Linked DNA regions of Alligator mississippiensis. The protein of the gene in region 1 purifies or fractionates together with the protein of each later gene. This does not show direct contact. Links are inferred from orthologs where the notes say so. Each region holds a gene or a part of one and is shown on either strand. Other genes may lie near its edges. The genes, in order: ACTR2, CORO1C and CHURC1.

The links.
Region 2: the proteins of ACTR2 (region 1) and CORO1C fractionate together in Homo sapiens (co-fractionation; 3 studies listed by BioGRID and IntAct, with this or other methods). This does not show direct contact. The link is inferred for Alligator mississippiensis from reciprocal best matches to the Homo sapiens genes ACTR2 and CORO1C.
Region 3: the proteins of ACTR2 (region 1) and CHURC1 purify together in Homo sapiens (affinity purification with mass spectrometry; 4 studies listed by BioGRID and IntAct, with this or other methods). This does not show direct contact. The link is inferred for Alligator mississippiensis from reciprocal best matches to the Homo sapiens genes ACTR2 and CHURC1.

Annotation. Positions count from the first base shown.
Region 1 is NC_081824.1:214,971,046-214,981,269, reverse strand, and holds the start of ACTR2 (actin-related protein 2), read right to left. Parts: upstream 4,203-10,224; 5' UTR 4,188-4,202; coding exon 4,107-4,187; intron 1-4,106. Other genes in the region: N(4)-(Beta-N-acetylglucosaminyl)-L-asparaginase, read left to right, coding at 6,582-6,693, 8,490-8,628. UniProt on the Homo sapiens protein: ATP-binding component of the Arp2/3 complex, a multiprotein complex that mediates actin polymerization upon stimulation by nucleation-promoting factor (NPF).
Region 2 is NC_081833.1:4,730,557-4,740,816, reverse strand, and holds the start of CORO1C (coronin-1C), read left to right. Parts: upstream 1-5,237; 5' UTR 5,238-5,323; coding exon 5,324-5,327; intron 5,328-9,413; coding exon 9,414-9,613; intron 9,614-10,260. UniProt on the Homo sapiens protein: Plays a role in directed cell migration by regulating the activation and subcellular location of RAC1. Increases the presence of activated RAC1 at the leading edge of migrating cells.
Region 3 is NC_081825.1:171,525,515-171,535,753, forward strand, and holds the start of CHURC1 (protein Churchill), read left to right. Parts: upstream 1-5,594; 5' UTR 5,595-5,664; coding exon 5,665-5,703; intron 5,704-10,239. UniProt on the Homo sapiens protein: Transcriptional activator that mediates FGF signaling during neural development. Plays a role in the regulation of cell movement.

The DNA.
Region 1 (10,224 bases):
ATCTACCTCTCTATCAAAAATGGTAGTATATGCATTACTGCATTTCTGTTTAGAAAAAGGATATGAAACTTGTCATGGGAAAGAGCCAACTGGTAGTTTAATTAAAATTCCCTGGACTACAACTAAAAAACTGAAGATATACCCATGCCTCTGTCCACAGGAGAGCTCCCATCAAGCAAAGTCCACACAGAGTTGGTTATTAGGCAAAGTAAACACTAACATTTTAGTGAACAAGTCTAATTTTCATTCCACGGCCTGCCATGGGAAAGCAAGAGGGGGAAGTATTTTTTTTGCCTGTGATTGCTCTCGCTTTTCTTTTGCTTCACTTATTTTTTTTTATTTTGTCAGCTCCAACAATAGACCCATTTTGACGTTTGAGGAACGAAAGAGCTTTACTTAATATTTTTGTCTCCTCTGCAAAAGGCAAAACTAATTTCCAAGTAGGAGAAGGCTTTCCAGGAATATAAAATAAATTAGAAAGACAAGTTCTTGTGATCCCTTCTGCTTGTGTTGAGACCACAAATATCTAGAAATTATTCAAATTTGATCTACATCTAAAAGAAAGTGGTGCCTGCTGACAGCAAGGAAGGGGCGCTAGTTATTTTAGGTCTGAACTGGATAGAGTCACAAAACCTATCTGTTTGTGTGTTTTTACACTTAAGAAAGGGTATTTAAGAAAGCCTGAAGTGCTCTCAGGGCGCACTGATTAATGAGGAATAGCTCCTTACAAGTCTATTACTCCAAACTCGTACCATACACAAAACCTCAGCAATCTCACAATATTGCTTTTGGTTAAACAATATTACTATATTGCTTAGGACCCCTGATCATAGACCAAGATCCTATGGATGCCCCAAAGAGACAGTCCCTCCAAAAAACTTGCAATCCAACAGACAGCAACAGATTAGCAGGACTGTCGCATTTCCTATGCACTTGTGAAGTTACAGAATATTATTCTGCCTCAACATACCAGGTTTTGCAACAGCGTAGGCTTGATGAAAATGGGGTAACATTACCGTTACAGATGAAGCAAAAAGCCTTAGGGAGCATCTGAGTCTAGTGTCAATGATGTCGTGGGCAGCATAAAACTTAATTTTTTTTAAATGATGTTTTCCCCTTATCTCTATGCTTCTAAAGGTCCTGCACCAATCTGAACTGTCACTAGCTTTGTTCACTGGGTTCATAGCTTTTTATACAGCTGGCATGCCCCAGAAAAGTAAACATATAAAATATTTTATCCCTGTTTAAAAAGTACCACTCTCCTGGTTTAATGCAATTAAGTCAGCTGGAGAGAAATTCCGTGAAGGAGCAGGTATCATTCACTGCCCAACACATTTCATAGCTTCTCATGGACATCTGTGAAATTGGATGCATACAGCCAAAACCAAAAACAGCAGCATTATATCCACAGATGCGTCTATTGCTTTTTTCCTTCCCTCACAATATAACCTGCACACCTGAAACTTGAGATGCATTATCGCAGGATGCTTTAAAAAGCAGAATGGTTTTTACAGCTTGTGTTAAGTGCGACTCTCTCAATCTGAGCTGCCAGCGTTTCACATGCCTTGAGGACTGAGAAGGTAAATACCCTTTTCTGGCGCACTGGTTGAGGAGTTAGGCCATCACATGCAGCAGTAACCAGCGTTTGAATCTAATGACATTTCAAAGGGCTGTAGACAAATACCACTTGAAACGGGAGAGATTAACTGACACTTTGGACTGTTCATCAGCTGTTCTGATTTAACTTATATCTGTCCATTCTTATATCAGCATAAGCGAAGATAAACCACTATAACTTTAAGCCTCCTTCATTTGAGCTAGAGAGAAAACAAATTTTAAGTTGCAGTTGTTCAGCTCCATTTATACCAATACATAAACAGAAAAATGTAACAGTTTTTATGGCCATGAGAAGCTTCAGGTGCCAATTTGATTCGGAGACTTGGCCTGATTCATCAGCTGAATCTCCTAATTGAATCAGGAGACCAAAAAAAAGGTCTGAATCGATTCAGAAAAGATTCAGAGAGCTTTGGAGATTTAGGCAGTCCCCGCTCACTGCCACAGGGAGCTAGACGATAAGCGGAGAGAGGTGGCATGGGGACCCATCCCCTGCCTGCTCCCCCAGCCCCCCTTTGACCTCCCCCAAGGCTGCCCCACCTGGCCCCAGCTCCTGGTTCTTTAAAGAAAATGTCCTGCACTTATCAGCTATTGCAGTGGCCATTGGGGCTTCTGGGGGTTTGTGGCAGAGCCCCCACGCAGCGTGGGGCATTGGGGACCACCCCCCTGTTTGTTTGTTTTTTAATGACCTGACACTGGGGTGGGCATGGCAGCCATGGGAGGGGACTGGGGCTCATGGCAGAGCCTCCCACACAGTACGGGGCAGCAGGGATTGCCCCCCTGCCTGGCAGCAGCCAGCGAGTGGGGGCTTTTTAAGAGCCAGGATGAGCTAGGATGCTGGGGCTGGGAGAGTGGGTAGGGGATGGGGGCTCATGACAGAGCCCCCCACCCATCATCGGGCAGTGGGGAGCAGCAGGGATCAACCCCCTGCCTGGCAACAGCTGGTGAGTGCCCTGGGCTTTTTTTTTTTTTTTTTTGAAGAGCTGGGAGGCTGGGGCCAGGCAGGGCAGCCATTGACAGGGCTGGGAGAGCCGGGGAGGGGGGGGGGGAGCGGCGGCAGCAGCTGTTTGATTCAGATGCCAATTTGATTCAGGTGATTTGGGCAGTGATTCAAATCACTGTCCCCTGAATCGGCTGAATCCGAAGCGACAGGCCAACAGTTAAATATGAACCACATACACCAGAATAACTTGTATATTAGTTTGCACTTTTCAAACTTCAGTGTGAACAACCTTTACAATATCTGCTGGCTTTTTCCTATATCAGCCACTACAGAACAACCTGACATGCCTCTTCCCAGCAAACTGAATGGCTACTGTCGAGTAAGCAAAAGAAAGGCAATCAGAGACCTCTGGATTCACTCCCTGGATCTGTGGCATACAGTGGTTAGAGAGAAGAGAACATCAAAATGATTTAGATATTCTGAAAGACAGGATGGTGTAATGGTAGGACTGAGATATACCATTTTAGGCACTGTTCTGGGAAGTGATCTTAAGTGTTCTGTTAACGTTTTGAGAAAATGGGAAGATGAGAATGTTCAGAAACTGATTACTTCCACCTCTTTTTTTAAGTTAGTGTTGGCTGACAGCATTGATAATTTTTACCACAGTTACCACTGATAATTTTTTACCAGGTGCCACAGGAACTAGAAGGGTATACAGAAGAGAGAATGCTTTAACTTCTGGTCTCCTCTTACCCAGATTAGGAAGCTCCCTGTCCCCAGGTTCATAGTGGGCAGGGAACTTTAGTGAATGGGATAAATGACCAAAGTCAGCCTCATTTTTCAGCTGCCCTTGAAACGAAATAATATAAATTCCATTATCACTTTGTATCATCAAGTAAGATTCAAGTGGTTCAGACTGGTACATGTTTGCGATTTCCAGCTGAGAAGTTGTGTCACACCAGCAACCAATAACTGATGCACAAAATGCAAACAGCAAGAACGTGACAAAAGGACAGATCCCAGGGCATTTTAGATTTCTTGATAAAAAGACTACAAAGGAGGAGGAAAAAAAGTCAAATATGCCCAAGAAAAGATGGCAGGCACTTAGTTTCCCCAAAGATTATTATCTCTCCAAGAGCATCACGTTATATAATAGAGGGCACACCCCTCCCCCCCTTAAGGTAACCTGATCAAGAATTATAATCAATTTTGATTTTACTAATGCTTAAATACCCAGTATTCACCACTCTTGTGAAACTGGAACTCTCTCATAAAACCTTAACAATGGCACAAATCCTGATGCACCACATCATCATGTATGTACTCCTTGAGGTACCAGTCATCTGAATTCAGCATGGTGCAACAGATTCTTAACATTTAAATACGTGACTGCATCCGTCTTTACATAGTGAAGAACTTGACACTGAAATCCCCCCCACATCTTTGCAAGTTGTAAAGGTTGCACCTTATAATCCAAGAGAGCGTATTAAGAACAGCTTCTTAGTTTGCTTGATCTGTGCAAGATACCGTGTGTAAGAGATTATTTTACCATATATAGTTTCCTCTTCATAGCATTGTGGTTGAAATGACTTCTCTCACTTCCTACTGAGTCATCAAGTGGTAAGAACATGCAGGCTAAAGATATTCCTTTTAAACAAAAATAAGAACACCATCTACATCTGCTCACAAACCTGTTTTAATGACAAGTTTCATACTGAACAATCTTATGTCTCCCTGGTAAAATACTGTTATGCAACTCAGACAAAAGAATTCTAAATATAATTAGGACAAAATTCCAAGCCTACAGTAATTTGCCATTTGCCCTAGAAAAGCACAGAACATGCAGCTTAAATGTTCTAGATTTTAAAATGCTTCTATGGAATTTCTCAAAGTTCTTCCTATATCACGTGTCATGAGAATACACTTATGATGCTCTTTGTAAAACAAAAACAAAAAAAAGATTGCAATCTGACTGAGGCTGCATTTAACATTAGATGAACAAAAGGTCTGCAATAAGTATATATAAAACTTAAGTTGAAAATACTATAATTTAAAGTATGATCTATAGCTATACAGGTTTCCCTCTCCAACCATGGGGGTTAGGTTCCTGAAAGTTTCTGTGGTTGGCAAAACTGGCAGGGCTGGGGGAACAGGGGCTGTGGGTGGGGGGTGAGGAGCACCAGCAAGGCTGGCCGGGGGGGGGGAGGGGGGGGGTGTAGGGTTGGGGGGGGAGTGAGAGTCACAAGCAGGGCCAGGGGCATGGGGGGTATTTTCCAACTGCATCCCCCAGCTTCTCTAAAGCATGGATAATCAAACCGTGGTTGGTGAGGGAAACCTGTACTATAATTTGAAAATAGTTCTTGTTTATATGGTCAAATCCTTGGGTTCATTAGGCAATTTTAAAATTCTAATAATGGTGCTGTTGCTTGCTTCAGGAGCATTCAATCCCTGGCCTATGGGCCACATTTAAACCCTGGTGCCATGTTAGCCAGCCTGCAGGACCCCCTGTGGGTCCAAAAATTTGGTGGCAACAAAGTAGTGGCCAAATTTTCCATGAGGAGCCCTGCATGCTGATTTAGGCATATACAGCAGCGTGGGGCCCAATCCTAATGTATGTGGTCAGGCAGGGATGACACAGGGGCCATGCAAGTCTGTATATGACCCAATCCAGGTGTGTGGGCTGGGCAGAGGTACTGTAGGGCCCAATCCTGGTGCAGGGGACCATGACCAAGCCCTACACCACTCATTTGATCCATTGGACCAAAAGACTGAGCATCACTGCCTTACATAGCTCAGAAAAAATATTAGTAATAATTATTCTAAAACAGCAAACTACTTTTTTCTTTATAATAAATAAAGATGACCTAAAGATTCCATGCCCTATCACTATTAAATAGAAAATTATTTCTTTTCCTTAAGCACTTTCTTAGGGAACTTGGCTATTTATTGAGAGTTGTCAAGTCTTAAAATAGCAGTGTTGAAACAGCAGCAAAGATGCACTGTGTCTCATGTGCTCCTTAGCTTTCAGCATTATATATTTAAGGGGAAGGAGTACTTTAAAAAAAAAAAAAAAGAAAGTCTGAATAAAAATTACTTCCCCAATTGCCTGATGCAAAAGTTCTTCCTCCCTTGGTAATGTCAGTTTCTTTAGTTCTCTAAATGTTCCCAAGAAGGAGAAGGGACCTAGCAAGGCTACAATACCATCATCCAATAACTGCAGAGGTGCTAAACCAGTGGTTTTCAACCTTTTGTTCATTTGCGGACCCCATAACAATTTAGAATGGATGTGTGGACCCCTCCGAATTGTAAGTGTGGGTATTCACGTACATTTAATTGAGTACAGTCATCTTCTGTGGACCCATCAGGCCGCAGGATCCCAAAACGGCCGGATCCTTTCCCACCACCCAACGACCCCGCTCGCAGGCCCGACCCTCGCCCCCTCTTTGTCCCCGCCGCCGGCCGCAGGCGGGCGCGGAAGTGGCGGGGAAGGAACACCGCCCTCCACGCCCGTGCGCCCCGCCCCACTCCCGCCTGCCCGGCCCCGAGGAGCCCCGCCTTGCGTTACAGCCCGGGGGGGGGGAAGCAGTGCCGCCACGGCGGGGTAACCACGGAGCGGGGGTGGGGCAGCGGGGCTGGGGCCTCAAGGCGCCGCGATACAGCGGCGGGGGTGGGGTAGCCCTGGGCGGGGACGGGAGCCGGAGCCCCGGCAGGAAGCAGGCCGCGCTACCACGAGAGCCGAGCCGGGCCGGGCCCCGCCACTCACCCCGGTGCCGTTGTCACAGACCACCACCTTCCTGCCCAGCGTGTCCATGTCCGCGCCCGGCCAATCGCCCCACTCAACCGCCGGCCTCGCACACACCGGAAGCCACCGCTTCTAGCTCCGCCCTTGGCGCGCCGTGACTGACAGGCCGCCGCCAGCCAATCAGCGCTCTGCCCGTCGGTTTTCCCCCTCTCTCCCACCTTTTTTTTTTTTTTTTGCCGGTCGGCATGTTCGCCCCCTCCCCCCACTCCACGAGGCGTTGCCATGGCGGCGGCCGCGGGCACTTGGGCCTTCTCACTGCCCGCCCTGCGCAAGATGCGGGAGTTGCTGTTGCGAGGCGCGGACGCCACGGACTGCGTGCAGGAAGCCATGGCAGGTGAGGGGAGACCCCGTGCAGCAGCGCTGAGGGGTTAACACCTGGTTGTTGTTTGGTTTTTTCCCCTTTAAAAAGCAATGGGAGCTGGACTTGTGGGGATGGGCCGCGCGGGGTCGGAGGAAAGCCCCACTGGACGCCGCCCGCTCCTGGGAAGGAAGGAGGCGCAGGCGCAGCGGGAGGGGCCGGGCGCGCCGCACGGGCGGGACGTGGGAGCGCTCCACGGGCGCGGACAGACGTTAACGACCCGAGAGTGAAGCGCTTGGAGGGGAGCGGCTCCGGGAAGTCAAGTGGCTCCCTCAGCTTTACCTGGCTAGAAATGCTGCTGCTAAGTGCATGGTTTTAAGCTTGGAGTGGAGCAGGGGTCAAAAGTGGGGGGCACAGATGCACTAATACACCCCCCCCCACCCCCCCTTTGGATCTGCCCCTGATTCCTAAGAGAAACCCTGAGTTTTCAAGCCAGCGGTTTTAAATCTGTTGTGTCCTGCTGGGGGCTCTCCAAAGGCTTCAGCTCAGCGGCTGTGGAAACATGAGTGAAAATGAAGAGCTGGCATTTTCTGAATGTTGCCCTGAGTCTGGGAAGGGTGAGAGCCCCTGCTCTGCGTGCATCCCAGCATAGTTTGTTTGTCTCGTGACCTTGCATCCATCAACACAAACTTAAGGCACATTGTGTATAAAAGTGGCAGGACTTCAAGTGTCTGCCCTCATGGAGTTAAAAAAATACATGGTCAAGTACCCTGTACTGTTTTGGGGCAGTTGTTACTTTTCCAGGCTGACTGGAGCCCCCATCAGTCCCCTTCCCTTGCCAGTTTCTGTCCCCTTCTGAGTAAACAGGTGTTTATTTCTTTAAAGAAACAGACAGACAGAGCTCTTATCGAGTTTCCTGTCTTTTTGGCCCAGAACTGCTTTGCTTTTCAACTGCTTTGCTTGTGTATCCAAATTTCCCATCAACTGAAATGAGGCTACAGAAATGCTGTTCGGCTTTTTGGATAATTCCTGTATCGCTGGTGCTACCTAATGTTAGAACAAATGTCTTTTACTTCAATGTAGCCAAAGGCACTTGAGCACAATTCCTTTGTTTATGGCAGGGCTGTCCAGCTGGCAGTCCATGGGCTGCACATGGTTTGGGAAGGGTTCACAAGCAGCCCGCAGACCAGGGCCAGACACAGGCATGGGTGAACTGGGCAGCTGCCCGGGGCTTGGACAGATATGGGGCCCAAAATGGTAATTTTTCCCCGTTTTCCTGTTGTTGTTGTTGTTATCGCTGATGAAGAGTTTGCCCGGGGCCACAATGAGTCTAGGTATGGTGCTACCCCAGACTTCCACTAGGTCGTTGCTGCCCCTGTTATATCAGATGGGATCTTGGGGCTTCCCCTCCCCCAGTTTCCACTGCCTGACCTACCCCCAGGGGGGACAAAGGACATGATACAGTCCAGCTTAACCTTCCCCCACAACCTGTGGTGTCAGGGGAGCTAGCAGCCCAGAGCCCTGTTGTGACAAAGTGCCTCCAAAAAGTCCACAGGGAGTTGTCGGTGAGGCACGGCACTGCATAATGGGGTGGGGGTGCCCGCTTCCCCATTGTAACAGGATGTGGGGTGCCTATCTGTAGACATGGGGTACAGCCTGGGGGATGTAGGTCACTCTTTCATATGCGTATGTCAGTCCCCCATAAATAGTGTTCGTTTTGACCCTTCTGTACTGTTCAATTTCTTAATGGGATTTTGGGAAGCACTCGGATTTTTAAAAAATGGAAACTTGGGTCTAACGCTTAACTATTTTTAAACTTTACTTATCTCCAGCTATTGAAAATGATGAGGAGACAGGGAGTTATGTAGTAGGACGAGGAGGCTACCCAAACAAAGATGGATTAATCCAGTGTGATGCTGCTGTAATGGAAGGGCATTCTTGTCATTTTGGAGCAGTAGCGGCTCTGTCTGGGTACGTAATGTGCTTTAATCTACCTGCGGCAACATGCATAGATTTTTATAAGTATGTGGAAAGGTTTCATGTCCATAAAAGTGAGGGATTTGCATTGCTGGATAAAGCACAATAAGCAATTGCAGTGGAAGCCTCCTATCAAGCCTGAAATATTAACTAAACTGAAATCATCTGACTTGTTTTACACTGTGGTCCTGTAGATAGGACACTGGTTTGATAGGCACAAGAGTTGGGCTCTATTGCCTGGTCTGCAGTTGACTAACATACACAACCTTGGATGAGTCATTTGACCTGGCAATTTCTTTGTCTACAAACTTATCCCACAAACAAAGACTTATCCCACATTTGTAAAATGCTTGAGGTAAGGGGATGAAAGTGCTACACACGTTTATTTTCCATTGGGTCATATCCTGCAACTAATTTTCATGCAAGCTTCCAGTAATTTTCAATGATTGTTTTATAATGGCAAAGTATGGTCCAACTGAGGTAAGCTAGATTTCCAACCTCATGTGCTTAATGTAAAACACTAATGCATTAACTAATACAAGTGCTGTATATTAACTAGGTCATTTTAAATATGCAAATGATCTTTTGTCCATCTTAGTAACATTGCCCCCATGACTTTCGTAAATGACAGTTTTTCCAGTAATTGGGCTACTAAGGAAGAAAGCCATGCTCTAATTCATAACAGAGTAATTGAAAACATTTTTGTGTAAAGACGGTAATGTTGAAACCTGGCATGTAATACACCAGTAACCAATTAATTTTGTTAATCTGACACAGCAAGTAAGATTAGACATCAACAGGATGCAAGTTCTGTAATGGAAATAGGTCTGTTAAGGAGGACCTCGGGTGTATAGTACAGCATAGCAATTAAAATCCATTGCTATATTTGGTGCTAACTACTGCTGATGGTTATTGAGTGGTCTTATGGGATTCTTATGTTTCGTTATAGGACAGGTATAATGCAGGAAGGAATGTGTTCTGAACTGAATGACATTTTAAAGTTGGGTTTTTTTTACCAGTTTAATTCAGCTGGAGCCTGACTTCACATTCACAAGTGTATTTAAAATATGAGAAGAAAAAGAATGAACACATCTGTAATAGGAAAATAGGGATGTGTAACTTATAATGAGTGCAGCTCTGTTGTTAAAAATGATTCAAGTAGTAAGGAGTGTCAGGAATTGCTACAGTGATAAAGATGCAGAATAGGTTTAGACAACCCAGAATAAAAAGGGTCTGAGCTTTCTCTATGCTTAGTAGTGTTTCCACTGCTACACCATCAGTAGAGAATAATGGGTCCTCAATTTTAACCAAGTAACTGCATAAAAATCCACGAGCCCTGTTAAAGAAACAATGTATTTTTTGCGGAATCCTACTAATAGGTGGCTTAGTTGAACTCTAAATGATATGAAAGGAACTGACAGCTCTTTTATGGTCAAAGGATCTAGAGCAGATAAGTCTGTCAAAGAAAAACTTATAAACAGGAAAATTTAGGGGAAACACAGTACAGCACTAATTTGGACTGTCTAGGTTGAGTATATCCTGTTCAGACTGCTTTAAGGTTTTAAAAAAGTTCCAGTAAAAAGATATTTA
Region 2 (10,260 bases), on another chromosome or scaffold:
TGTGGGTGTAAGCTCCTAAATCACTTCCAGGTGCCGTGTAAAGGACTGGCCTTTTTAGAATTGATTAAAAATACTAGGAACAGTGTTATCGATCTTATTTCTGTGCGTCTGCGTGTTAGCGCTTGCATTTTGATCCAGATACGACCTGACGGCATCCCTTCACATTCGAGGCTGCGTACCCAAACAGGAGCTATTTCTCTCTCGTTACCGACAAAGTCGCCAACCGCTTTGCTGGGGGAGGGCTTATTTGTGGTGGTGTAATCTCCCGCTGAGCTGCAACGAGGAAATGGGTACCCGCTTCCGGTTGCATATTTTGGCCATTTTGAATGCAAGGTTAAGGATTTTGCAGAATGATCTTTGCCTTCCAGCTCCAAGCTCTGTCCGTGTCCTCCAGCCCGCCGTATTTAATGGCTTTCTGTGCATTCATCGCTATGGCAGTAGGCAAATGACACAGATTGAATGCGGCCGGACAATGCTGTCTTTTCTGGGTAATGATCTTAAATAGCCCTCGATAGAAATGGCCTGCCGAGGGCCAGTGTTATGTCAGCAAGGTGTAGGCTCTGTAATGCCGCTAAGCACAGGCTCTCCCAAGGAAATTAATTGCACAGCCAGAAACCCTCCAGCAGAAACGCCCAGCGTGCGGTAGCAAAGGCCTGTTCGCAGCAGTGCTCAAGAGCTCTGCTTCAGTGCAGCATACCTCGAGCGGTCTCTAAGGAAACCACCCAGGCCCTGCTACCATACGTATGAGAATTAAGCAATACTGTGCGGCGCTTTCTGCATCCGCAGCTCCCCAGATGCCTATGGGAGCAGGGAGCAGAGTGGTACTAAGCAGATTAAACCCAACGCTGGGTGGATGGGTGGGATTCCTCTATCCTGGAGCGCGCCTGCCTTTCTAACCCAGCTGTGGGTATCTCATGGAAAAAGTGAAGTCTTTGAAACACAGGATTGGGTGTTGGGTTGTTCCCCCTTTATTCCTGCTTCTGCTTTTCCTGCGCGAGCTTGGACAGACCACAGAACTGCCAGCCTTTGCCCCGTCTGCAAGACGGGAGCAGCCGAGTCCAGTGAGGTTTAATGCTGCTTGCAAAGCACTTCGCACGGCTTTAGCTCCTTCCAGCCGAGGAGCTGGGAGCGTGCGCTCTGGATGTCCCGGGTGCTGAGCAGCCAAACGGCTTGGGAAGGGCTGTCCCAAAGCAGGCCCACCCTCCGTTTGCTGCTGGAAGGCAGTGCTAGCTACCTTTTTTCCCCCTCCTCTCATGTTCAAGGGGAAAGCTCATATTGAAGAAACACCAGGCAGCTCAAGCCTTGATAAAACCCACTGCCACTTAAAGGATGCAGCGGTGGGAAGGTGCATTCCTCTTCCGGACCCTTAGTGAGGGTGCAGTGCTGCTCCGTCTCTCTGACTGGCTTTCAGCGCAGGGATTGATAGTTCTTGTTAAGGGTCTAATGTTCCCCATCTATCTTCTGATGCAGGCCTCATCTTGCTTTGAGATCAATGACTGGCCTTAGCCTCCTGCAGGCAGCGAGCTGGCTGCTTTGGGATGGATTGTGCAATGTCTGCTCAGCTACAGGAGGTCTGTCCCTGCCTCTGCTCCAGTTACGCCAGCCTCGTCTGCCCCTCTGCGCCTCCCCAAACTGACCCACGAAGCTGTTGGCATCCTTTACACCCCTGTTAAGGCCCACTGCTGCCAGAACGCCTCCAGGAAGTCCTCGCTGCTAAATAGCTGGGCAGAAGGGTGACTGGGCATCACATTAAAGTCAGTGTTTCTGTGATTAAAAACTCCAGTGCGTGTGTATGGATGTATGCACATAGGCACAGAAGTGTGCACATGTCTATATTGTGCCGCGCACCAAAGAAGACTTAATGTGGTTGCAATGTCAAGCCCCAAAGCTGGGAACATGCCAGCATTAAGGTTGGTGCAGCAACCTTTTGTCAGCCCCCTGGCACGATACGACCATGCTTGTTCATCCCCCCAGACTCCCGTCTTGCTCAGTGCTCAGGCTGGATTGCACTGGCTGTAACCCCTGGGTGCAGTTCTTGTGCCTGATTGTACAGGGGCAGGTCAGCCTAGATGATTGCAGCAGTTTTTCTTGCCTTAAACCCTAAACATTTCCCTTATCCTCAGTGCTCAGCATGTGGCTTTAGGCTGTGTTTGCTGCTTACTGGTCCAACTCCACGCTGAAGACAGCATTATTCATTTCCTCGTGAGTTTTGCTACGGTGCGCGTTGCTGTAGGATCTGAGAGCATCCCAGATATCGCTGGATTCATCTGCCCGGCATCCCTGTCCGACAAAGGCGTTAGTGCTCGTGTTTCGCACTGAAGCACAGCGTGCTTAATTTTTGGTGCACGCTTGGTCTTAGCACTTTGCAAGAACTTTGCTAGGCTTTCCCTGAACTCAGCTGCAGCTCAGCACTTCTGCTTGTTAGACCTCAGAAAAAAGAGGAACACCCCGAGAGCAGCCTGCTTGCGTAAAGCCTGAGCGAAGGGACTTACCCTCCAGCATCACGATCTTGTGGCAGCGGATGGGGTAGAGTCCCATTGTACAAGGCTCTGAGGCCGTTTCCCTCTTTTCCACCTCTTGTGTCACTCTCTAGCTACTTCCCAACCCCTGTAACAAATGAGATGAGGCGACAGACTCTTTATTACCCGCGCTTCTATTCATCTGCTCTGAATGAGGCAAGGGTGCTGTAGAAAAAGTAGCACAGGATCATACAACTGGAGATTGCCCAGAAGGCAGGCTCTGGAGGGGGCTGCCTGGATCCTGGCATCTTTTTTTCGGGGTGTCGAGCTCTTGGCTTCTGCCAATTTTACCGAAGGAAATTGCACACACGAGAACCCCCCCGGGTCCTGGGATGCGATGTCAGCGTGATGTCCCCATGGCTTAGCATCGAGGCTGGAACCTGCAGTCCTTTGCTAATTGAGCTGAGGGAGGAACTGACGGCAGTAGTAGGTTGTCACTCTTAGCATGGATTGATTGGGTGTCAGTGGGTATCGCTGGTATTCATTGGCAGTAGAGGACTGGTTAGAGTCAAGGAGCTTGAACTGCGTTTCCGGCTCCAGAGGATACAGCCTTCTCTCCACGTTTCTCTCCTCCACCCCCAAACTTTACCCTTTCTGCCCCCTCTCCTTCAAGTTATTGCTGACCCCAGACCCATCTCTTCCCCACTCCTCATCCCAGCCCATCAGGCAGACTCTCAACCCGGTCTCCATCCTGCCGCTTCTCTGTGCCCAGCCATTCCCAGTCTCCTTGTTGTCCCTTGCCCGCTCCCCTCGCTATCCCAACTCCTTGTCCGATGTAATCCCTGTCCCAGCGGCCCCGGTCGCCCCTTGCCTACCTTTCCCATTTCCAGTCTAACCCCCCACTCCTCGGGTCCAACTCAGCATCCTCATTTGCCCTTTGCACCCTGACTCTTCATCAGCTCTGCCTCCTCTCCCCCACTGGTCCTCCAGCCCTTGTTTCCCGCACTTGATGGAGACACCCAGCGTGGGAAACTTCATCCCAAACCACTGAGAATCGCCCAGGTATAAGCAGGACCACAGGATCTTATTGCTTGAAGTGTTGGGTAGCCTCAATAGCAGACGGTGCTTGACACTATATCTGATGGTCTCGCTGCGTCCTAGTTTTCACACATTTCTTGTCATCTTCCGTGGTAAGGAAGGACCGGGTCTAACTTGGCAAAGATCTGGCGCTGGAGGTTTCATCCAAAAAACATTTCGCTGAAGGAGGGGAGGAAAAACCCCAAACCACACCTTCTCTCCTTCTCATCGGCAGTACCAGCCTTGTGCAAGAGTTCCTGCAACACTGCTCTTCTCTCCCATTGGCTTTTGAAGGCATTTTCTTTTTTCTTTCCCGGCCTCTGGCTTGCCTCAGTGTTTTAAATTGGCCATTTGTTTGGTGCGCCTTTCTCTCCAAAGGGCCCGCGTCCACATGGGCTGAGCAGGATTTTGCCGTTAGTGGGGGGTTTTCCTGTCCGTGTTCCCCTCACAGGATGCGTTTCCTTTTGCAGAAAGCCGGCTGAAAACCCTCCAAGCTGCAGGCATACATCTGTTGGGCTCTTTAGACAGATAAGTCCTTCATGAACAGGAAAAGGGGCAAACCCAGGGACACACTGATGGAGAACGGGCTTCATTTTGGAGCACGAGGGGTCTATGTGACCCCTGCACGCGGCCGTGAAAACGGCTTTGGGGGCGTTAGCTTTAAAAAGCTGAAGGCTGTCCATCCTGATGTGCATTGCAAGATGCTCTATATTATAAAGTGGTACTTTTTTGCATTGAATTTTCAAGCAAAATTAACCCGCCCCCCAAACCCCGCAGCATTTAACCCTCTTTAATTGTACTTTCTCGAGGCAGATATCCCCATGTGAAGGAGCACACCTCGATCTCCCCTTCCTGCTCCTTTGATCGCAGGCGCAGCGCTGCTAACGAGTTCCCTCCGGCGAAGACCTCCGTGGCTCTCGGGCAGCACGTTACAGCATCTTTCCTCCAGCGAGAGCGTTGCCCGACTGTTGGAGCCGCTTCTGGCCCAACGGAGAAACAAAGGGCATCTTCACGATGCTCTCTTTCTTGCTCTCGTCCGTTAAGGAATTCGCCAAATTAGTCATTCACCAGGGGTCCCCCGTCATTAGCTTGAATTAGCCAGGTCCCGCTCCATTTTGCATATATGATAAAGGGCTGAATCGGGCTATTCAGGCACCAGCCCCGGAGGTGCGGAAAAGGATCCCTTTGGCCAGAGATTGTAACTTGAGGCTTTTTCTTTTCCCGGTCGTCCTGTCTTTCTGCAGCCGAAATCACCCTGGTCAGAGAACCAGGGGCGCTCAGACTGCAGCTGTCATTTTTCTTTTCCGCTCGCAGGGGGAAGGGAAGCTTTGCTGCTGTGGGGTATGGAGAAACGAATTGCCCGCTCAGTCTTCCCGGGCTTGCAGCAGGGTGGAGAGCTCTTTCTGGGATCAAGCTTAACCCTCTCTTTTTTTTTAATTTTTCACCTGTTCACTTTCTCTGGTGCACCCAAGGAGCCACAGCAGCTGCTTTTCCCTGCCTGGAGCCTGCACGCCTTCTCCTCCTCTTTGGAAAGCAGCCAGATCAAAATGGCTGTGAACCAAAGCCAAGAATCACTCCCTTTGCTATGGAAATGAGGGCTCCGCGAGACTGTTCAGCGTGTGTTCATCATAGACGGTTCCTGTTGAGAACGATGCATTTTGGGTGAAGTGGGGGGAGGGAAGGGAAGGGGAGGCGGGCACTATGGCAAAGGTGTGCGTTTGAGCCGAACGCTCCTGAACGAAGAGATTGGATCCAGCAGCCTGGAGTCCTTTTGCACTGGTGAAACGATGGGTAATTTTTTAAAACCCCTTCCTTGTGATAAAAAGGAGGGAAATTGGGTGGCATCCTTTCACCGTGGGGAGAAGGGAATTTCTTAGCGGGTGGGAGAAGAGCAGGGGGGCATCAGGCCAGCGTGCTGGAGAACGGAGGCTTTTTGGGAGCGAGCAGGTGGAGAGAAGCAGGGTTGCTGCCGGAGCTGTGATGATAACGTCTCCATTTCCAGGCTCCGAGCAGACACGTTGCAGAACTGCACGCGCAGCATGTGGAGCCGGGGCTGTCCAGGGTTGGGACCGCCTGAGCACAGGCTAAAAACTGGCTTTACCTTGGCTAAAGCCTTTGATTGACGCTTTGGCACGCAGCGAGGTTGAAGGGGGCAGGGAGCGGGGCAATTATGGGCTTGCAAAGTCCTTGTGAAAAGGTATCGCCTTGCACCGCCGACCCGCTCGCCCGTCTCGCCCCGTACGTGAGCCACTCCTGACTCATTCCTGCAGAGATCCCGGGAGGTGTGTCGCCAGGTAGGCAGGAGCCGTGCCAAGCATGGGTGTTTGCTGTTCTGCCTGGATATTGCAACCCGCGGCGCCTTCGGAGCACACCCTTCCCCGACTTCGCCCAGCGTGTGGATTAGCTTCGTTCTTGGGCACGTTGTTTGTTAGCGGCCTGGCTAGCTGGGAAACGATTTGGCAATGGAGAGGAGGAGGCTTCATCAGCCTTAGAGCAGCCGGTTAGAAAGAATCCCAGGGGCAGGATACGGCTCTGTATTATAGCATTGCCAGGTCGTCTTCTTTGCGATGTGTTTTACCTGAAGCTCAAGCCTCTTTGTTGCCCTTGCTCAGGTGAGACAGGTGTGTTTTCTGTCCTTTGCATATGGGATGGAGAGGCTAAGTAACTTGCCAGAGGTCACTCTGCCGGTCGGTGGCAAAGCTGGGATTGCAGCTGGGGTCTCCCGAAGCAGCCACATGCTCGAAGCATTCAGCATGCGCCTCTGAATCGCGGCAATTGAATTTTGCAGGGCATTTCTCCCAAGGGGAAGAGCAACATCCTGGTGCACTTCCACCTGGAGTTATTACCGTATTTACCCGAATCTAAGATGACTTCAAATTTAAGACGACCCCTGTCCCTCCCCGCCCAATAATTACATTCTAGACCTGCAAAATTATTATGATGTTTCATGTCTCAAATCTAATTATTGCAGGGTCATCTTAAATAAGTAGTTGAGTAGTTGTGGTATTTCACCCGAGAGTTGAGTCTAGCCACCTACCAGGTAGAAGCGACTGTGTACGTGCATGTGCGATTATATATTTATAAAAATAAAACTTGAACTGCTCCTTTGGGGCTGCTCCGCAGAGCTTAGCTCGACCACTTACACTGCTGCAATAAACTGCGAGCATGAGAAATTATCAGCGTTTGTGGGGGACTTGAGGCTTTCCTGTTAATATGCTAATCTGGGCGGAAGAGAAGTTGCTGCTCCCGGCCTTGTGATGGTGTAATGTCAAATGTGTGTCGGTTTTTTTATTTTGCAATAGCTTCCTCTTTGCTCTAAATTATGTGCAGTAACAAATGTTTTGTGCATTCATTTTCAGCCGGAGTAGTTCCAGTTAGTAATTTTTAGTTTGTAAATCCCAAGATGCTAATTCTTAGCTTTTTCTCATAGCACTTTTCAGCCCTACGTTTCCAGTTGCCCGCAAAATTTAGCGTTCGGACTTACAGCTGTTTTCTTTTAAGCTACAGGAGTTCTTAATAAAGCGCCATTTGTGGCACTTCTGTAGCTTAAAAGCAGCTAACTCATTTGGAGAAATGTAGCAGGCCCCTGCCAGAAACGGTCCGTCTCTAATCCTCTGTGTGCATAGGTAAGGCCCTTTGTGTTGCCTTAAATAATCACTTAGGATTTCTGGCTGAGTAGTAGAGACTCGAGAATAGGCAAACTGCAGCGGAGGCGGTAGGTGGGTTGTGCTCGGACAGAGAAAAGACCCTGGGAAGCCGAGCTGTCAGTGTGCCAGGTCATCCCTCGTGTCCTTTCGGGGAGAGGGAAAGCCAAACTATTTGGGCAGCAACACGATGATCTTGGTGGAAGCTGAAATCACAGTAATGAGAATTTTTTTTTTTTTTTAAAAGCAACTGTCTAGACCGGATGGCTGAAAAGACTTGGACTGAAATAGAGAGCCGTTTACCTCCAGGTCACTGGCGTGAACTCGGTTCGGGTCATCAGTGGCTGGAAGTCATTACCATCCGACAGCTGCTTGGCCTGCGCGGAAGCAGTTGGTGGTCTGCTCTGCTCCGAGATGGACAGATGTCCACCTTGCAGACATCGCCAGCCTCGTTGGCACGTTTCTTATCAGGCTTTGCATAGAAACCCGGGAGCGACTGGGCCCCTCTGATATAGCAGCCTGGGGGAAACTGGGGCTGCTGCCTTCCTGACTTCGAGCGTTGCTCTCCAGGGCTCTGTCCTGCAGCTTTTATACCAACATTACGGGCTCCTTTGAACATCACGTTATGGTCCGTATCCTCTGCAGATTTTAAAACCAGGGGCAAGCTGGCCCCGGGTCTGCTATGCTCGTAGTCTTTAGTGCTTCGGCATTCAACAGAAACACTAAGGGTGTTGGAATTGTGCAGGAAAGAAATGCACTGTAGAGAATATTTCCTGTTTTCCATGGAAATTGGAGGCGTCTCATTATATAATTGACTGACTGGTAAAGCTGCAAGACACTTAGCAGACTTTTTTTTTCCTTCCTTTTTTCCAATGGTATATCTACTGCATGACTGCTTGGCCAGTTCTGATGGGAGCTTTCTTCCAGACACGTGACTCTTTAACTATTTAGTGCACAGATGTGACAAAGTAGGTCGTTTTTAAACCTACCTGGAGGTGTGTTTGCATGCAGGTGTACGATAGCGAGTCTTGCATCTTTTCTGATTGCAGAGAGGTTGTGTGCACACGTATGTTGGCACACACTAAACCTGTATGGGGTGTGCAAAGCGTTTCAGACCTTCACTTCCCTTTCGAAAGGTGAATTTCCTTGTCCTTTTTGCTGAGTTAGGAACATATGGGCTGGCAAACTTATGGCCGGACCCTTAATTTCTGTTGTTGCGGAGATGGGGCACTTCAGACACTACGTGGAGGCCCTGCCTTCCCTATGACGGCATAAACTGTGATAGAGAAAATGTACAATGCGGGAAATCCTTTGCTGTTTTCAGTGAAGGGTCCAGAAGCTGCAGATGCGGAGAAATAAGACAGTCGCCCTTTTCCCTTGAGAGCCGACTGTTCTTGGAAACTTTGCCTTCCCAGTGCGGGGTGGGGAGCTGGATTTTTCCGCGTCCCTCTGAAGTCGACTGACACGGGACCCGGGTCCCGCTGAAAAAGTATTTTCTCAAGAGGAGGAGCAATGCAGATGCACTCAGAGACAGTTTGAGCCAGTAGCTTGTTTCCATTACTCCTCCCTGCTTAGGAAGCTAATTTTATTATTTTTAATGAGATTTTGGAGGCCGACTAAAGAACGGGAAGTTAGCTAGCATGCAGAACCACTTCACAGGAACACCGCTTTCTCAGAGCTCGCAGTTGAGCAACAGCTCCTGGACCCTGTCTGACTTAAAAGCTGAATAAGTTCAATCTAAAAACCAGGCAGTTTCCCCCATTCCTTTACCCTCCGCAAGCCGTTTTCAAACGTGGGCATTTTTTCCTTGGAAGGGCATGCTGAGCTGGGTGCTGCCCTTGCGGTACTAAGATGGACATGATGGCGATGGGTGGAGGGGGGAGAAGGTTGTCTGCAGAAAATAAGTCTTGCGGCTTTTGATGTGGACCGTGGTATGGCTTGAAAGCATTCGGTAGTGCTGGACACAAGACTGCGTGGATTTGAAGCCTTATATAGAGCTTTAAATCCATCTGCAGTTAGCCCGGTTTGAAGTATAAGCGGGTAGAGCATGAACATATGTAAGGAGAGGAGAGATAAGCGAGAGCCGCTGCATCTCCTGCAGCGTGTGGAGCTAGGCTGGTGTTCGTGGGTGGAAGCAAGGATAGCCAGAGGGATGGCTGGTAGAAAGAAAAGACCAGTCCACGTGCACCCCGCAGGCCTAGTCCTTCTGACCTTCTTGCTCTTTCCCCCGCAGACACCATGAGGCGAGTGGTACGACAGAGCAAATTTCGGCACGTGTTTGGCCAAGCCGTGAAAAATGACCAGTGTTACGACGACATCCGGGTTTCCCGCGTCACCTGGGATAGCTCTTTCTGTGCGGTCAACCCCAAGTTCGTGGCGATCATCGTCGAAGCCAGTGGCGGCGGAGCCTTCCTGGTGCTGCCCCTGCACAAGGTAAGTGCGGTGGGAAGGGCCCGGCTGGGGTCATCTCAGCCTCGTTTATGGACGGGACGGGGCTAGAGAAACCCCTGCTGCTTCACAGCTGGGTTTGAGTGGCAAATGCTAGGTGGAGTCGAGCATGCCTCTGGAGTCGCTCCAATGCTGCCTTTAAATAGAACGCGGTACGAGAAGGGCTCGTTTCGCTAATTTGGACCAGCTCTGCATGGAAAAAACTCCTAATTAGAATGGTGTGCTCCCTGTTCGCAACAGCAACGGTCCGTCTTTTTGCATCAGGAGGCTTTAGCTTTCTGAGCCATCCCCTGGTACCCTGCCGGCCCTGAGTGCTTTGTCCCGTTCAGACTGCCTGCATCTGACTAGCTCCGGTGGGGTGGCAAGGATGAGAATTGATACCGAGGGAGTGGAGGCCGTAGGATTGCCGGAGGCCCCATTACTACTGCCGGCAGGAGAGTTTCAGCCTCCAGTCTGGCCCTTGAGGTGAGATGGTTTAGTCGGGGATGCTCCTACCCTGAGCAGCGGGTTGGTCTGTGGGCACCGTCTCACCGGTGCAGGTACAGCACCAAAATAACGTGCGTGAGCAGACGGGTCCTGCAACCCTTTTGCAACTCTCCTGCTTTTCCCTTGGAGCGTGTGAGAGTGCCTGC
Region 3 (10,239 bases), on another chromosome or scaffold:
TGGGTTTAAAATGGAGGCTGCTCAGCCCCCTCCTCCTATCCCAGGACCTTCCTGTGGCCATATGACCTGCTCATTACCCTAGCTTACACCTGCCAGCTGCCCTGCAGGCACCCAAAGGTGCTCTGCCACAACTAAGAACACTAGCTCCATCCTCTTTGGAACCACCCTTCAGGTACTTGAAGGCTGCTATCAAATCCCTTCTCAGTCTTCTCTTCTCTAGACTAAATATGCCCAGTTCCCTCAGCCTCTCCTCAGAAGTCCCCAGCCCCCTAAATATTTTTGCTGCCCTCCACTAGACTCTCTCCAATTTGTCCACATCCTTTCTGTAGTGGGGGGGGACCAAAACTGGACACAGGACTCCAGATGTGACCTCACTAGTGCTGAATAGAGGGAATAATCACTTCCCTTGATCTGTTGGCAACACTCCTACTAATGCAGCCCAGTCTGCTGTTAGCTTTCTTGACAACAAGGGCACTGTTAGCTCATATTCAGCCTATTGTCCACTGTAACCCCCAGGTCCTTTTCTGCAGTGCTCCTGCCCAGCCAGTTCATCCCCAGCCTGTACTCGTGCATGGGATTGAACAAGGACTTTCCACTTGTCCTTGTTGAACCTCATGAGATTTCCTTTGATCTAACCCTCCAATTTGTCTAGGTCACTCTGAATCCTAGCCCTATCCTCCAGCATATCTACTACTCCCTCCAGCTTGGTGTCATCTGCAAACTTGCTGAGGATGCACTCCATCACATCTTCAAGGTCACCGATGAAGATATTTCATAGATTTCGTAGATATTAGGGCTGGAAGGGACCTTGGAAGATCATCGAGTCCAGCCCCCCGCCCAAAGGGCAGGAAGTCAGCTGGGGTCATAGGATCCCAGCAAGATAAGCATCCAGTTTCATCTTGAAGGTGTTCAATGAAGGTGCTTGAACAACCTCTAGTGGCAGGCTGTTCCAGACCTTGGGGGCTCGGACAGTAAAGAAATTCTTCCTTATGTCCAGCCTGAAACGATCTTGTAGTAGTTTGTGACCATTCGACCTCGTCATCCCTTGGGGCGCTCTGGTGAACAAACGTTCCCCCAGATACTGGTGGTCACCCCTGATAAACTTGTAGGTGGCCATCAGATCACCCCTGAGCCTGCGCTTTTCCAGGCTAAAGAGCCCCAGGGCTCTCAGCCTGTCATTGTAGGGTCTGCTTCCCTGACCTCTGATCATGTGCGTGGCTCTTCTCTGGACTCTCTCAAGCTTCTCCACATCCTTTTTGAATTGTGGAGCCCAAAACTGGACGCAGTACTCCAGCTGCGGCCTCACTAAGGCCGAGTACAGGGGGAGAATGATGTCCCGGGATTTGCTTGAGAAGCATCTATGGATGCAAGCCAGCGTTTTGGTCACTTTACTAGCCGCAGCATCGCATTGCAGGCTCATGTTCATCTTGTGGTCAATGATGACCCCCAAGTCTCTTTCTTCCATAGTGCTAGCTAACATAGCACTGCCGAGCCTATAAGGATGCTGCGGGTTTTTTTTCCCAAGGTGGAGAACCTTGCATTTATTGGCATTGAACACCATCAGATTCTTGTCCGCCCACTTGCTGAGCCTGTCCAGGTCAGCCTGGATCATCTGCCTGTCTTCTGGTGTGGATGCTTTGCCCCAAAGTTTGGTGTCATCTGTGAACTTGGCCAGTCCGCTTCTGACTCCAGTGTCCACATCATTAATGAAGATGTTGAACAGTATGGGTCCAAGGACAGAGCCCCGGGGGACCCCACTGGTCACAGGACACCATGATGAGTGACTTCCATCAATTACTACCCTCTGGGTCCGACCCCAGAGCCAATTTTCCAGCCAGTGGATCGTGGAGGACCCAAGGTGACAATTGGCCAGTTTCTCCAAGAGACGATCATGGGACACCAGATCGAAGGCTTTTTTGAAGTCAAGATATATGACATCAATCTCATCTCCCTTGTCCAGGTGATAGGTCACCTGGTCATAGAAGGAAATGAGATTGGTCAAGCAAGACCTACCCGCAACAAACCCATGCTGGCTATCCCTTAAGATGTTGGCGTTGGCCAGTCCATTAAGGATGGCCTCTTTAATAAACTTTTCTAAGATCTTCCCTGGGATAGAAGTCAGGCTGATGGGCCTATAGTTAGCCGGATCCACTTTCCTCCCTTTCTTGAAGATAGGCACCACATTGGCCTTCTTCCAGTCTTCGGGCACTACACCAGAGCGCCAAGAGTTTTCAAAGATCCGCGCTAGAGGCTAGGCTATGATGCTTGCCAGCTCCTTGAGTACCCTGGGGTGAAGATTGTCAGGGCCGGCTGACTTGAAGGTATCCAGCTTCTCAAGATGTTCCTTCACGAAGTCAGCATCAATGGAGGGCAGGGGATCACCCTCACCCGGACTTCCCGGCCCTGTAGCGGGCATGGGCGTCCCATGGGGCTGATGAAAGACCGACACAAAGTACCTATTTAATAGGTTGGCTTTTTCCTGGGCGTCAGTTGTCAGTTGCCCCATCTGGTTCAGCAGGGGTCCAACGTTGCCCCTGCTTTTCCTCTGGCTTCCCACATATCTGAAAAAGGACTTTTTATTGTCCTTGATGCTCAAAGCTAGCTGGAGTTCAGTTGCAGCCTTGGCTTTCCTGGTCAGCTCCCTACAGGACCGGACCAGTGCAGAATAATCCTCCTTGGAGGTGACTGCCATCCTCCATCCTTTGTAGGCCTTTCTTTTAAGCCTCAGGAGGTCTGCTAGGTCCCTGGAGAGCCAGGGGGGCTGCTGTGCCCTCTTGCTGCCTTTCCTCTGAGATGGAATAGACTTAGTTTGTGCATTAAGGATCGCTCCCTTGAGGAGCAACCACTCTTCTTGAACTCCCCTCTCCCTGTGGTCACAGTCCCTTAGGGCCTCACTGACAAGCCTCCTGAGCTTGTCAAAGTCGGCTTTCCTGAAGTCAAGGACTTCCGTGTTGCTGACTGACTTGCCAGCTTTTCAGCGGATGGTGAAGGTGATCAGCTCATGGTTGCTGTCACCCAGCTTCCCATCGATCACTAGGTTGCCGACTAGGTCATCCCCAGTAGCCAGCACCAGGTCGAGCAGCGCTTTGCCTCTCGTTGGCCCATAGACTTCTTGAGTCAGGTAGAGGTCATCCATGCACGAGAGGAAGCTCTGCAACCGCTCAGATTTTGCTGAGCGATCCTCCCACGAGATGTCCGGGTAATTGTAGTCACCCATGACAACCATGGTCCTGGAGCAAGCTGCCTCAGCCAGTTCCTGGGCAAACCCCTGGTCAAGCTCAGGACTTTGGGTGGGAGGTCTGTAATAGACTCCCACCATTGTGTCCCCTGTGCCGTGTTCCCCATGGATTTTAACCCAGAGGGTCTCCAGCCATCTACCCTGGTCGCCAATATCGGCTTGCAGGGACGCGTAGCTTTCCTTGACATAGAGAGCTACACCCCCGCCCCTTTTCTCTACACGATCCCTCCTGTACAGGGCATAGCCATCTATACCCGTGGTCCAGTCATGGGTGGAGTCCCACCAGGTCTCCATGATCCCTATGACATCGTAATTGTTTGCACTGAGCAGGAGGATGAGCTCCTCCTGCTTATTCCCCAAGCTCCTGGCATTAGTGTAGAGGCAGGCAAGTGCCCCCTGGGGGGCTCCTTCCTTGCCCACAGATTTTACCAGGGCTGGGGCTGGGGTGGGCTCCCTTGAGTGCCGTGATCCGCTGGCTTTGCAAGGATTGCTCAGCAGGCCAGCAGTGGCGGTAGCCCCCCCGTCCCCCAGCGGGCTTAGTTTGAAGCCCGGTGGAGCAGGTCAGCCAGTCTGGCTGAGAAGAGCCTCCTCCCTAGGGGAGAGAGGTGGAGACCATCTCTTCCCAGCAGCTCACTGCCTCTCTCGCCAAAGAGTGGGCTGTGGTCATGAAAGCCAAAGCCTTCCTGACGACACCAGCACCGCAGTCTTTGGTTGACCACATAGATCCTCCTGTCCCTTCTCAGCCCATAGCCTGAGACTGGGAGGATCAATGAGAACACCACCTGTGCCCCCAGACCCTTGAGCCCTGCTCCCAAATCCCTGTAGCGCCTCATGACCTGGCTGGGAGTGCTCAAATATTGAACAAAACCAGCATTAGGACTAACCCCTAGGGCCATGGGCAGCTGGTGCCTCCTAATACTGGGGTGGGGAGGGGAAGAGCACCATTGGCCAATTGCCAACCAGGATGGGAAGGGGGTCCCCCAGCAGCTGATGGCCACCACTGGCGAAAGTGCCGGCAGCAAAACCAGAAGTGTTGCTGGCACTTCTCTCAGGCGGAGCACAGCCAATCTCAGGGGGTGCGCGTGCACCTGCATGCACCCCCTATGCGTTGCCAATGCCTGGGGCACTCCACTTGATACCAACTGCCAAACAGACATTGAGCCATTGATTACCACCCTCTGAGCCCAGTGATCCAGCCTGTTTTCTATCCACCTTACAGTCCATTCATCCAGCCCATGCTTCCTTAGTTTGCCTGCGAACATGTTGTGGGAGACATCAAAAGCCTTCCTAAAATCAAGGTACACCACATCCACTGGTCTCCCGCATCCACAGAGCCAGTCACCTCATCATGGATGGCAATCAGGCTGGTCAGGCATCACTTGCCCTTGCTGAATCCATGCTGTTTTGCCTGGGATGATGTGTTAAATGGTTGTCACTCTCTGCTACTGCCCCTTCAGGGTCAACTTCATTTTCACTTAAACAAAGATTTTTGATGTTTTCAACTTGCATCCAAATCTGAGCGATCACTGTTATCCTCTGCTTGGCTAGGCATCTCATTGTTAGACCTAGACTGCTGTTCTACTGATGCTGAAATCCAATGTTTTAAATTGCTTACAAGTTTCTTATTTTCTTCTGCTCTGTTTTTTCCCAGCTTTTTTGTTTGCGCACCTGACTTTTTCTTGGGCCCCATGTCAAAAAGCAGAAATTACTCCCGGTCAGCAGTTAAAAATACAGTAAATTTGCTAGACAAGTTTCCTTGGGTGAATTTGATATCTTTTATTAGACCAACCCAAATAGTTGGAGAATAGTTATTAAGCAAGCTTTCGAGTTCAAAAACCCTTCGTAAATTTGCTGTACATTTTTAATGCGTTGTGTATCGCAGCAGTCTGACACTTGTTTCACAATATTAAAAAAAAGGGGAATTTGCTTACCTGTATTAAAATAGCCTGAAATGTTATAACTCCGATCAAACATGACACACAGTTATTTGGCAGGTAAGTATAATATTGTTTCACTGGCTTACACAACAATAACAGTAACTGGGAACTACGCACGTGTTGATGCAGTGCTGCAAACATTTAAATGGAAAAAAAAATTGCTACCTGACCGTTGAAACTGTTCTAATACCAATCTTGACGCTTTCCCCACGGGGAGCGGAGGAGAGCAGCAAAGCAGCCTGTGGTCGTGCCACTCTGGTGCCAGCCCAGCACCTGCAGCAGCCCCGGCGCTGGAGCCGCATCCCCTGTGCCGCCGCGTGTCCGCGCCCCCCCCGGCCACACCTGTCACACGGGACACCCCGCCCCAGCGCCCTCCCTCAGGGGGGCGGAGCACAGCGAGGCCAAACCCCGCCCCCAGGCCAGCCCTTCCCCTCGTGGCAGGGTTGGGGCGGCGACCGGAAGGGCGGCGGCGGCGGCGGCAGCAGCGCCATGTGTGGGGGCTGCGTGGGCACGGAGTACCCGGCCCGGGTAAGGGCGGGCCGTGGTGGGCGCTTGGGTCCCGCCTGGGCCTGGAGGCCGGGCGTTGGGCCTAGGGCGCCGTGCAGCTCGCGGGGCGGCTCGAGCGGCCTGTCCCCGCGCCTCCCCTCAGCCTGCCCGCGGGCATCTCCCTGCGTGCGCTGCCGGGTTTGGCGCAGGCTTGCGGCTAAGACTGCCTTGGATGCGGAGTGGAGGCAGGCCTCAGCCCGTGGGAAAATCTTTCCCTCCGCCCCCAGTCCGACTTGATGCGGCTGAGCAGCCGGCGTGAGCCTCTGCTTTGTGGGGCTGTGGATGGCGCAGATCCTGCTGGTGAGCCAGCCGCACTGCTGCCCAGCAGGTTCCCCCTCAGATCGGCCAAGCTGGCGTTGGAGGCCCTGTTGAGGATACCTAGACTTACTTGGGGGACTGAAGTGTCTCTGCTGACTCTTCAGGGCTGGAGCTGGGCTTCATGGCCTCTATGATGACCACAGGGCTGTCCAGGATAGTAACTGGGCTGACCCATGAGGCTCACCTTCAATCTAATGTTTTCCACCTGCTGAGATAGAGGAGCTCCAGTTACTGGGAGTGTCATTAAAAATCTTTCATGGTCAGATTATTACTTCCTAGAAGTGCAGATCTCTGCCCTCTGTTGCGCCTGTCAGGATGGTGGACTTGGCTAGCCCACCTCCTGAGACTCAAGGAACTAGTGGGTTTCCAGAGCTGGCTGTTCTGGTCTGTGGAATAACTCTGTGACCTTGGTCAGAGCTATAGGGGAACCCAGGCATCCATTCTTACTGTTGCAGTGGGACAAGTCCCCTCCAGTACACTGGGAAACAAGCAGCTTGAAAAGGAAGGTAGATGGCTAGAGCATAGGTGGCCCTCAGCTCATGCCAGAACTGACTGATTACTGTCCTTCTTAAAGAGCTATGGCAGGGCAGTGGCAAAGGCAAAGAATCTTTTCTTCTCCACTGCCATTGCATCTGCAAACTGTCATCCCTGGAATTGTTCTGGGTGGCGAATGACCTGATTAATCCAGCTCGTCTGCCAGGAAGCCATGTCTTCAGACTGCCTACTTTGGAGACAAAATTGCCTGTATCTGGCACAGCTTGGGGACCATCACTTTTGCTGCAGGATCAGTCTGAAGTTGAGGCAGCCCGGTCTTGTCCTGTTGATATGAATCATGTTGCTTTCGCGCACTATGTGCAGACTATGCTTTGGAGGATGAGGGTGACCAATTGTGAACTGGACCTATGCCCATCTTGGTTTGTAGAAACTAGCATGGAGAGACTAGTGAGGGTTGTCAGTGCCTCCTTTCAGGATGGCAGGGTGCTAGATGTTCTCACGTCTTCACTTGTCTGGTCCCTGCACAAGAATCTATCACTTGACACTGACTCTCCAGTCCAGCCAGTTATTGCCCTGTCTCTGACCTCCACTCTTTGGGGCAGGTCTTTGAATGGCATCCCTGGATGTATCTGGATGACATGAGATTCCTGAACACTCAAGAGTCTGGGTTTCATCTTGAGTAGTGTGGAGACTGACTTCATGGCCTTGGTTAATGATCTTGGCTTTTAGATTGACAGGGAAAATTGTACTTTTGATACAGTTGACCATGAGTTAGAGGGTTCTGGTAAAGGATTTACATGACCTACTGGGAATTTGCAGGATTACTCTAAATGGGTTCTGCTCTTCCCTAGCAGGGGAATCCCAGAGGGTGGTGATGGGCAAATGTATGTCATGCCCTGCAGAATCCTTCCCATGAGGTCCCTAGGGGGTCCATCTTGTCATACCCCTTGTTCCATGTGTATATGAGGCCACTGTGTGAGATGGTACAGAGATATTTGGAGTGAGGTATCATCCATATGCTGATGATACCCATTTGACCCAGGCCTTGCAACCTCAGTCCTTTTCTAGTGCCTGGCTGCAGTTGTACATTGGATATGGGTGAACCAAGTGAAACTGAATTCAGACAAGACAGAGGTGATGGTGGCTATTAGATTCAGAGATGTGGGTTTTCCAGAAAATTTTGAATTGGAATTTTTTCCAATGCCCCAAATAGAGTGTGATCTGATTTAGCATGTTTATTTGACTTACATTTAGTAAACAAAACTAAAAAAGTACCCCCATGTTAATTTTGTGTTCCAATAGCCACAAGTATATGAACTGAAATATTTGATTGGGAAAAAAATTAAATACAGCACACTTAATGTGGTTTAAATGCTATATTAAAACAAATTCAAAGCTTTATATGAAAACAATTATTTTATTAGAATACTTGTAAAAATGTAAAAACAATACACAATAGCCTGTACTTCCCCTACATTGTTTGTTTAAACTTAAGAAAAAAAATGAAAGCACGGAAAACTGTTGACACACTAATTTTAGCACATCCAAAGAACTGTGCATGATATGCTGTGGTTGCCCACTCATCTACTTCAACAGAGTTGAACTATCTTCCACTGAGGTCATTGAGGCACCTCCAGTTTCACTGTCACTATCTGTAGAATCACTTGCACTACTTACTAGTGCCGTTTCAGAATCAGATTGAGGCAGATCTGATTTAGAACCACTTGAACCACATTATCTTTCACTAAAGGATGGTGTTACCAATGAGTCTATGGGCAAGGGCAACTTATCATCACACTGAATCTTCTTCACTAATTGTGAAACAAGAGATTTTGAGAAATAGAAACAAGCTTAGCAGTGTGTTCATTTGCTAGTCTATTCTTCCTTTTGTCTTGATTGAGCTGAAAGCCTTCCAGTTCCATTCGCAGGAAGCTGCTGTTGGTGGAATGCTTAGGATCCTTAGAGCACTCCTGGACAACAGTCGGGTGTTACAGTATCCCTTCCATCATGGGAGGGGAAACATATTCTCTGCTGCCCGCCAAATGATGTCTTTGCTCCAAAGTTTTTCTTTTGTGCGGTCGGTACTTGGCAATGTCTGTCATCATGGCTATTTCGTCAATGTTGGGGACATTCTTAGCTACTTCCATAATTGTATTGAGAGCAGTAGATAATTCATCTTCTGATAAATGTGCTTGGTGTTGAGGATCCAAAAGGTTTGCTGCCAGATGAACTGGATGAGAGCAAAACGCAGATTTCTTAGTAAACATTTGTTTTACTCCTCCTCCTTTTTTGGATAGAGGTGAAGAAGGCAAAAGCTCAATTAGATTTTCATTCAGTTGTCTGAATATCTCTGGAATATTTGAAAGTCTTGGTGCATCTCCCTCAAGTTTCTTGATAGCCACTGAAACTGGAAGTAGCAAATTGAATGCTTCTTGAACTCGAACCTAGAACGCATCATTGGTGAGATTGCTTCCCTACGTTCACAGGAATAATCTGGGATACTGCGTCATCTCTTGAAGCACACTGCAAACAGTTCTTTGTGTGCAGCAAACTATGTAAACACTTTGTAGCCGAGCCCCATCTAGTTTCTCGTGGCAATAAAAATGCACTTTCCTTCCCCTGCTTCTCTTTCTGTAATTTCTTTACAGTCTTGATTAGCAATGTGATGATTGTTGAATACCTTCACAATCACTTTGTAGTTTGCCAATATTGTCTTCATTGTATTCACACTTACTATGTCCTTTGCCAGAAGATTCAGCCCATGAGCAAGACAGCCAAATACTAGTAAATGAGGATACTTTGCCTTTAATACTTGCCATGCAGCTTTCATGTTACTCGCATAGTCAGTTACAAGGGCTTGTACCCTGGAGGGACCTGCACTTCCAATCTCTTCACTCAGTAATTTGGCTATGTATTCACCTGTGAGATGAGAAGATTTGGTAGCAGTTGCTTTCAGGAATATTGGTTCAGGTGTTGCTAACAATGTTCAATAAAGGATTTCCTTGTATATCAGTTCATCCATCTGACATCAGTCAGTGATTCTGCTTGACCAATCCTTTGAATATAACCATTGTTTGAACTCTGTCATACTCTCTATCTAAGAGAGAATGTGGTAAGCAATAAGTGACAGTAATTTATATGATGGGTGAATTAGTTTGTAATGTTCCTTCCAGTCTTGATTTTCAGTTATGGAAAGAGGTGTACTTGAAATATAGCTCAAGCTAATGTCTCATCTGCTTTTTCTTGATCTGCTTTTGACATTTTGTCCACAAAGCTTGATGACAGTGATCTTGAAATCAAGAATCCTGCTTCTTCTTCCCCCAGACCTGGCAGCTCAACATTTTCATTTTCCATTTTTTGTAAATCTGCTATTTCACTTGAGCTACCAAGTTCCTGCAACAAAAGGGGGAAAAGATTTTTACTTTAGTCTAGTCTAGTCTGGCCTCCTCCATGAGAAGGAGAAGCGGCAGGGAGCTTGCTTCCCCACTCCCTGCCAGAAAGAATGCTCTGCTGCTCAGTTGCCCTGGGACTGCAGAGCCAAAGGGAAGTATAGTCTGGCCTCTGCCATTGTCCTGAGGACTAAGCTTGCTCTGCTGGATTGAAATAGTTAACTATCTATTATGTAATTTAAAAAAAAAGATATTGTTAAGCCTAAGCCACTTTAGGTGCTTAGTGCAAGCAGAAAAGCAGGATTCAAATATTTTA